2 linked regions of the Canis lupus familiaris genome follow. Each later gene encodes a partner of the first gene's protein in a complex. Links are inferred from orthologs where the notes say so. Each region holds a gene or a part of one and is shown in the gene's direction. Other genes may lie near its edges. The genes, in order: CSF3R and CSF3.

Evidence for each region.
Region 2: the proteins of CSF3R (region 1) and CSF3 are in contact, whole or in part, in a crystal structure (PDB 2D9Q), measured with the Homo sapiens proteins. The link is inferred for Canis lupus familiaris from reciprocal best matches to the Homo sapiens genes CSF3R and CSF3. Residues at the interface, in NP_000751.1 of Homo sapiens: Arg164, Arg190, Lys191, Leu193, Leu194, Leu195, Tyr196, Gln197, Asp220, Met222, His261, Ile262, Asn263, Arg311, Pro313, Leu314; in NP_000750.1 of Homo sapiens: Ser42, Leu45, Lys46, Glu49, Gln50, Arg52, Lys53, Leu141, Asp142, Asp145, Thr148, Thr149, Gln152.

Annotation. Positions count from the first base shown.
Region 1 is NC_049236.1:5,900,648-5,904,547, forward strand, and holds the end of CSF3R (granulocyte colony-stimulating factor receptor), read left to right. Parts: intron 1-128; coding exon 129-269; intron 270-855; coding exon 856-1,005; intron 1,006-1,119; coding exon 1,120-1,260; intron 1,261-1,496; coding exon 1,497-1,590; intron 1,591-1,649; exon of another isoform or gene 1,650-1,781; intron 1,782-1,856; coding exon 1,857-1,938; intron 1,939-2,174; exon of another isoform or gene 2,175-2,359; coding exon 2,360-2,839; 3' UTR 2,840-3,501; downstream 3,502-3,900. UniProt on the Homo sapiens protein: Receptor for granulocyte colony-stimulating factor (CSF3), essential for granulocytic maturation. Plays a crucial role in the proliferation, differentiation and survival of cells along the neutrophilic lineage.
Region 2 is NC_049230.1:22,479,572-22,483,471, reverse strand, and holds CSF3 (granulocyte colony-stimulating factor), read left to right. Parts: upstream 1-1,096; 5' UTR 1,097-1,405; coding exon 1,406-1,418; intron 1,419-1,530; coding exon 1,531-1,685; intron 1,686-2,107; coding exon 2,108-2,215; intron 2,216-2,355; coding exon 2,356-2,502; intron 2,503-2,857; coding exon 2,858-3,022; 3' UTR 3,023-3,859; downstream 3,860-3,900. UniProt on the Homo sapiens protein: Granulocyte/macrophage colony-stimulating factors are cytokines that act in hematopoiesis by controlling the production, differentiation, and function of 2 related white cell populations of the blood, the granulocytes and the monocytes-macrophages.

The DNA of each region.
Region 1 (3,900 bases):
CTAGCTCTCCCCACTTTTCTGCCCTCCCTCCCATCAAATGATCCGCAGAAGAGATAGAAGCAGCTAGCTCTGCAGCCTGAGGCCTGGGGGATCTGGGGTCAGCTCCTGATCATCCACGGGGGGGTTAGGCCCTCACCGGGGCGCCCTACCCCATTTTCTCTCCACAGAGAACATCAGGCCCTTTCAGCTCTACGAGATCACTGTGACCCCCCTATACCAGGACAGCGTGGGGCCCTCCCGACACATCTATGCCTACTCCCAAGAGATGGGTGCGTCAGCCACCAGGCCTCCCCAGAACCCTCTCCTCTCAGTGCCTGCTGGGGCCCCGGCCATTGGGACTATGAGGGAACATCCCCCCACCCCTGGCCCCAAAGAAGCTCTCTCCCAACCCCAACATTACCCCAGGCTAGCCCCAGACCTCTGCAGCCGGACAGGTCAGGCGGCCGGGTGACAGAAACTAGGGAGTGAGTTTGGCAGCAGGTCTGGCAAAAGTCCATCAATCACCCTTGAAAGAAATCAAGTGTCAGCTGCGGCAGAAATTAGACGGAGGGCCTGGCATAAAGTCAGAGGGCGAGGGGCAGAAATCAGACAGCGAGCCCAACTAAACCAAGCCGGTGGACGTGGGGTGGTGAGGCTTCGGAAGCAAAGAGAAGCGGGTTCCAGTCCCGACCTGGCCACTTATTAGCAGTCTATGGAATGCAGCTGAAGGTCCCGGCAACACCAGGGGGGCCGTTTCCTTACTCCTCAGCACAGTGTGTCTCAGTTCTGGGGTCTGGGGAGTCGCGAGGTGTCCAGCTGGGCTCCCCACTCTGCCCAGCTCCCCGGCAGCCCCTGTACCTCTCTCTCTCCCGGCAGCCCCCTCCCGCGCCCCAGAGCTGCATCTAAAGCACATTGGCAAGACCTGGGCCCGGCTGGAGTGGGTGCCCCTGCCCTCTGAGCTAGGGAAGAGCCCCCTTACCCACTACACCGTCTTCTGGACGTCTTCTGCTCGGGGCCAGTCCTTCTGTGAGTCTATCCTCAGTACCCCACAGCCCCAGAAGGCCTCGGGGGGAGCGCTCAGCAGCCGCAGAGGGAGCCTCGGCATCTGGGCCCAGGCTGACCATTCTCTTCTACTCCCAGCCACTGTGCTCAATGCCTCCTCCCACGGCTTGGTCCTCCACGGCTTGGAGCCCGCCAGCTTGTACCACGTCCTCCTCAGGGCTACCAGTAAGGCCGGCGCCACCAACAGCACAAGCCTTACCCTGATGACCTTGGCCCTAGGTAAGGCGAGAAGGGGGCCGGCCAGACAAGGTTGTTGGGAAGGTTCCTCGGCCAACGGATCTCTCATTTTGAGGCCTTGCCTGGATCCGCTGGTCTGAGGGAGGAGACCCAGACCTGCCCATGAAGCTCAGCCTGAGGGAGGAGGCCCAATCCTGCCCTCAGAGCCCAGTGTGACGGAAGAGGCCCAGCCTTCCTTGCGTGCACTCTAACCCCTTCTGGCTTTCCCTTCACCCCAGAGGAGTCTGAGCTGCATGTCCTCCTGGGCCTCTTTGGATTCCTGCTCTTGTTCATCTGTCTCTGCGGGGCTGCCCGGCTCTGCTGCAGACCCAGGTAAGTCCTTTTTTTTTTTTTTTTTTCAGGTGAGTCCTTTTAAGAGAATTAATACCTACCTGCCCCTGCCCACAGGGAACTGCAGGCTGGGGTGGGCCAATCCAAGTCCCTCCTCGCCCTCACAGGCCTCAGGGCCCACGTCTGGATCAGGCACTGCACCATCTCCTCTCTGCCCAAGGGGCCTTCCGCTGCTGGGAGTGGGTGAGAGAAAGGATGGAAAGATGGAGGGCAAGCCTGACCTGGCCCTCTCCTGTCCTCTTTTGCAGCAGAAAGAATCCTCTCTGGCCAAGTGTCCCAGACCCAGCCCACAGCAGCCTGGGCTCCTGGGTGCCGAGCATCATGGTGGAGGTGAGAACCCCAGAGGGAGAGGGAAATGGGGCCGGGGGGTGCTGGTCCAGGATCCAAGTGAAAGGAAACCCCTCCAAGGATGAGGACTCAGGCCTTCCCATCACTTCCTAGCAAGGTCCCCTCCCTCCGGAGTAAAGCAAATCTCACTTTGGATCCCAACTCTACCCATTTCAAAGCCTCGGCCATCTCACTGTGAAATGGGACATATCTCCCACACAATCCTTGGGGACAAGCACCTTAAGCTAAGTCTGAAGTGCAGAGCAGGTGTCAGAAAAGCATGAGGTGCTTCACAAGCATCATCCTCAGGGGTTCCAGCAGAGCGCAGCAGGAATATCTCAACTGTCCCCAACTCAGGAAGGGACACTGGTTGGGACGAATGTCTCAGATGAATCACGTCCTCACCCCCCGTCCTTGTGTCCAGGAGACCTTCCAGCTGCCCAGCCTTCGGGACACTGGCATGCCACCCATCACCAAGATCACAGTGCTGGAGGAAGAGGAGAAGAAGCCAGGGCCCTGGGAGTCAAATGACAGCTCAGGGACCTGTGGCCTCCCCACCCTGGTCCAGGCCTACGTGCTCCAGGGGGACCCAAGAGCATGTTCCACCCAGACCCAGCCCCAGTCCGGCACCAGTGACCAGGTCCTCTACGGGAAGGTGTTGGGCAGCCCCACCAGCCCAGGTCCAGGGCACTACCTCCGTTGTGACTCTACTCAGCCCCTCTTAGGGGGCCTTACTCCCAGTCCCAAGTTTTATGAGAACCTCTGGTTCCAGACCAGCCCCCTGGGCACCCCAGAGCCCCTCGTCCCAAACCAGGAGGATGACTGTGTCTTTGGGCCACTGCTTGACTTCCCCCTCCTGCAAGGGCTCCAGGTCCATGGGGTGGAGGGGCTGGGGGGCATCTAGCATCCCCTGGGACCCCCACTTGGGCCTGTCTCTTGAGAGGTCTGGGCCATCCAGAGGAGAGGAGAGTATTAGTAAGCCCATCATGCAAAAAACCACCTAGTCCCAGAAGGGCAGTAAGGCTACAGGGTCTCCTCCCCATCTCTGGCCCCCAGCATCCTTCGTCTCTCTCTCCAGTCCCCACAGGCTGGGCCCTTAATTTAGTGGCCACGGAATGCTTCGTCCAACCCTGCCCACTAGCCTCTTGTGCTTATTTCCTGTAATCTCAGTCTCTTAAACTGGTTCATGGTTTGGTTTGGTTTGATTTTGAGAAACTCTTGAGTACGCCCGCACCTCTGTCCTTTTCCTTTTTAGGGTCCTAGCAGTGATGGGGGTACTTATCAGAAGTGTTCATTTGCATATTCCTTCCTTTGCTCATTAATCCCCCCAGCCCTCACCCAGCATGTAGGCCCTGTGCTGGCAGCGGGGATTCAAAAATGACTTGGCTCAGTCCGCCCTCAAAGAGTTCGCATTCTAGTGGTAGAGACTCGAAGACTGCCCATTAGGGCAGAGTGGCCAGGACTGAGGCAGGGATCACAAAGTGCTGTGGGACAGGAGAAGAGACCTCAGAAAAGACTATCCTTGCTGTGTTGGAGAAAAACAAATAAAACCATCTACTGGGGCGCCTGGCTGGCTCAGTGTGTGGAGCATGCAAATCTTGATCTTGGGGTTGTGAGTTTGAGCCCCACACTGGTTGTAAAGATTACTTAAAAATAAAACATTAAAAAAATTTTTAAATAAAATTTAAATAAATAAATAAAACATTAAAAAACAAAATCTCCTGCCAACCTAGAAAACCTCTCCACCAGGGTGGAAGAGGATGAAATCAGTTTTATTACTGAATGAACATTAACCAAAATGTGATGGGCATCATCACCAACCTTCCTAAAACCTTGAAAAGACAGAAAGAAACTTTACCCTTGTTTACCGCCAAGCAGATACAGGTTACTGCACACATTTTCGCAAGATAAATGATACCTAGTCCTCAAGCAAAAGGACATCACGGCACCATCCGTCACACAGAG
Region 2 (3,900 bases), on another chromosome or scaffold:
GATGCGAGTCAACAGGTGAAGGCCCTGCCAGCTGTGGCCACCAGGGGGCACCCCCGCCCCAGAGATGCCCTCACCCAGACAGACACACCCACTCCTCATCAAAAGGTGTCCTTCCTTGGCTGGTGCTGGGGTAAATTGAGACAGAAAGTGACAGCCTTGGGCGTGGCAGGGCAGCCAGCTAGGCCGGCCCGTGGCCGTGGGAAACCTTCAAGTCTGATCTGAGGCCCAGGCTGCAACCCTGAGTCGGAATCGGCTCTCCTTGACCTTAGGCTAGGCCCTTCCCTCTCCGGCCCAGTTCATGGGGTTTAGAACCGAATCAGAGACTGGCGCGGTTCTGGGGTTTGGGGCTAGGGCAATTTCTTCTCTCTGCCCCCCAGCCGTTCTCCGCCTCAGGGCAGCGCACACTCTGGCAGGCAGTGACCGGGAAGCCACGTCAGGGACCTTCCCCCAGCTCCCAAGTGCTGGGACACCACTGGAGGGAGGGGGAGCGCAGGAGGAGGAGGAAGGGCAAGGTCAGGTGAACCCAGAGCCCCAGAACCTCAAGGGTCTTGCTTCATTTGGGACAGACATCCGGTTTCCTTTGGTTTCTGCCAGGATTCCGGGGGCTTGGAGGAATGAGTCATGGGGGGGAGTGGGGGGTTCCCAGCTAACCAGTTCAAGATAGGGACCTGGGATGGTGCCCATCAAAGTATGGGGTGGAGACAGGAGGCTAGATCCCAACGGCCCCATCTCAGGCCCCTGGCCTCTCAGGAGGGGGACTCAGGAAAGCAGCCTCTTGGGAGTTTGAGGGGTAGAAAGGGGGGCAACTAGCTTCTTCCCTCCAACTCTAGACTCTAGAGTCTAGGGAACAGGTAGCTCGGGGATCCCAAGGGGGGTAGCGCCAGGGGGCTACTCCCGCAGATCAGGCAGGGGAGGGAGGGAGGGAGGGAGAGAGGGAGGGAGGGAAAGAGGGAGGGAGGGAGGGAGGGAGGGAGGAAGGGGCTGTCCCTGGCCTGCCTGGGCAGTGTGGGCCTGACTGGCCTCCAGGCTCCTTGGCTCTTATCTGTGGCTCAAGCTCACTTAGTTCAGTGCTTCAGATCAAACACCCTGGGGCAATTCGGCCTGGGCGGGGCTGAGGGGAGGAAGAGTGTGAGGGGGATCAGACGTCAAAGAACGATCAGAGATTCCACAATTTCACAAAACTTTCGCAAACAGCTTTTTGTCCCAGTGCCCCCCTACATTGTCCTGACACCAAATTTGCATAAATCCTAGGAAATTATTACTAAGCCCTGGTCGTGGCACCAGGTAATTTCCTCCCGGGCCTCCATGGGCTCCTCTATAAAGGCCCTCTGGAGCCCGTCCCTGCCAGAGCCCAGAGCCTGCAGACCCACCCAGACCTTCGGCTAAGCCTGCAGCCCAGAGCCCCATGAAGCTGACCGGTGAGTGTCCTGGCCCCAGGGAGGGAGGCTGGAGTGGCAGAGGGCTGGGAGGGCCCCCGGGCCCTGCAGTGGACCGCAGGGCTCCTGAGCCCCCCACCCCATCTGCTCTCAGCCCTGCAGCTGCTGCTGTGGCACAGCGCACTCTGGATGGTGCAAGAAGCCGCCCCCCTGGGCCCTACCGGCCCCCTGCCCCAGAGCTTCCTGCTCAAGTGCCTAGAGCAAATGAGGAAGGTCCAGGCTGATGGCACGGCGCTGCAGGAGACTCTGGTGAGGGAGAGCACCGGAGGGGACCTCGGGGCTGGGAAGGGGGACCCAGAGCGGACAGCTGAGGGCAGGCACAGGGGGGAAGAGCTGAGGGTGGGAAAGGGAATGGAGAGAAGATATGATCAGGGAGGGACGTGGGAGAGGAGAGACCCAAGGGAAAGGGAAGAAACTCAGAGGTGGAGCCATGGAAGCCTGGCTAGGAACCGGGGAACAGAGTGCTCAGGGACAGGGCTCAGAGCAGCTGCTGGCTGGCGGGCCGGCCTGCCAGGATCGCTGTGGAGGGCAGGATGGGGCTGAGCAGCCTGGCAGCGGCCTGGGAGGGCTGGGAGAGAGGGGAAGACCTGGGAGAGACGGGGAAGGTTAGGAAACAGGAGCAGCCGTGGCCCTGTCAGGTGCCCCTCACTCAGCATCCTTACTGTCCCCAGTGTGCCACCCACCAGCTGTGCCATCCTGAGGAGTTGGTGCTGCTCGGGCACGCTCTGGGCATCCCCCAGCCTCCCCTGAGCAGCTGCTCCAGCCAGGCCCTGCAGCTGGTGAGTTTCTGGAGGGGAGGAGGGCAACAAGGAGAGGGAAGGATGGTCTGGAAGTCTCCCTGGACCCCCAGGCTCCAATGTGGGGCCCTGAGAGGAGCGTCCCAGGCAGCACGTCCTGACTCCTCTACTCCATCCCCCAGATGGGCTGCCTGCGTCAACTCCACAGCGGCCTCTTCCTCTACCAGGGCCTCCTGCAGGCCCTGGCAGGGATATCCCCCGAGTTAGCGCCCACCTTGGACACACTGCAGCTGGACACCACCGACTTTGCCATCAACATCTGGCAGCAGGTGAGCCTCATGGGAAGTGGCAAGCCTTAGGGGCCTGGATGGAGCCGGTCCCCAAAGATCAGGCTGCAAGCCTGGGATCCCGGTTCTTTAGGGCCAGGGTGAGAGCATTCCCAGGGTGTGTGTCGGGAGCTACCACTCCATCCCAGGCCCCTCTTGCTGCTGGCCCTTCCCCGCTCTCCCTGGATGAGGGCAGGAACCAGGTCACTGGACCCTGAAACAGACCTGGGTTCAAGGCCTGACTCCACCATTAACTGCGTGGTGTCACCTTCCATGGCCTGTCACCCCTTTGCATTTCCTTATTCAAAAATGCCCACTCAGCAGGGCCTGATTGCAGATCTCATCTTTCCCCCCACAGATGGAAGATCTAGGAATGTCCCCCGCCGTGCCACCTACCCAGGGCACCATGCCAGCCTTCACCTCGGCCTTCCAGCGCCGGGCAGGAGGTGTCCTGGTGGCCTCCAACCTGCAGAGCTTCCTGGAGCTGGCATATCGCGCTCTGCGCCACTTTGCCAAACCCTGAGCAAAACCCTCCCCAGCCAGTGTATTTATCTTTATTTAATATTTATGTTTATTTAAATCTAATATTTAAAGATGAGGACAAACAGAAAGGAGCCCTGCACTCTTGGGTCCTTCCTGCCGTCTCTGAGTTTCATTGTCCTGCTTTTGCAGGGAGAAAAGCCCCTGTCTTCCTGTCCCCTGGACGGGGAGGTAGATAGGTAAATACCAAGTATTGATTCCTGTGACTGCTCCCTGGCCTGGCTCTGTGGTGGGCACTGGGTAGAATCCCAGTGACCCCCTTACCCCAAGGGTACCCACCTTGAGGCCCATGGAAGCATCAGGAAGTCTTCCAGGTGGGAGACAAAACAACCCTGTTTAATATTTAAACAGCAGTGTTCCCCTACTGGGTGCCCCCCCACTCTGGCCTCACCAACTTGGCTTGCACGTGCCAGGTGGGCTGTCTCGCTTCTCCTCACGTCCCCTTCCCCACAGGCATCAAACCCGGCAGAGGCAGCCAAAGTGGGGAGGCTTGACCCTGGGGTCCCACGAATGTGCTGGGGAATCTAGTTTTTAAGACGTTTTCGGGAATATTTTGACTTCCAGTTATGGGGAGCCTCGGCATCACTCTCTCCTCTTTCTCGATGCCCTATGGCAACAATGACAAGATCCTGACACCTGCCCCACTCTCACCAGGGTCAGGATTCTGACCCTTCAAGGGCTGGCCAGCGGGTCGTGTGTTGGCCCTACTGAGGGGGACTGGAAGTGGGGAGGGAAAGATGGGGGGGTTATGTGACACGTGAGAGGAACACGCAGCTCTTCACCCTCCACCTCTGCCCGTACCTTCTCACTGTAGCCAAACTTGGTGATAATAAAGTATTTTGTTTGTCTCCAGTAAATGTC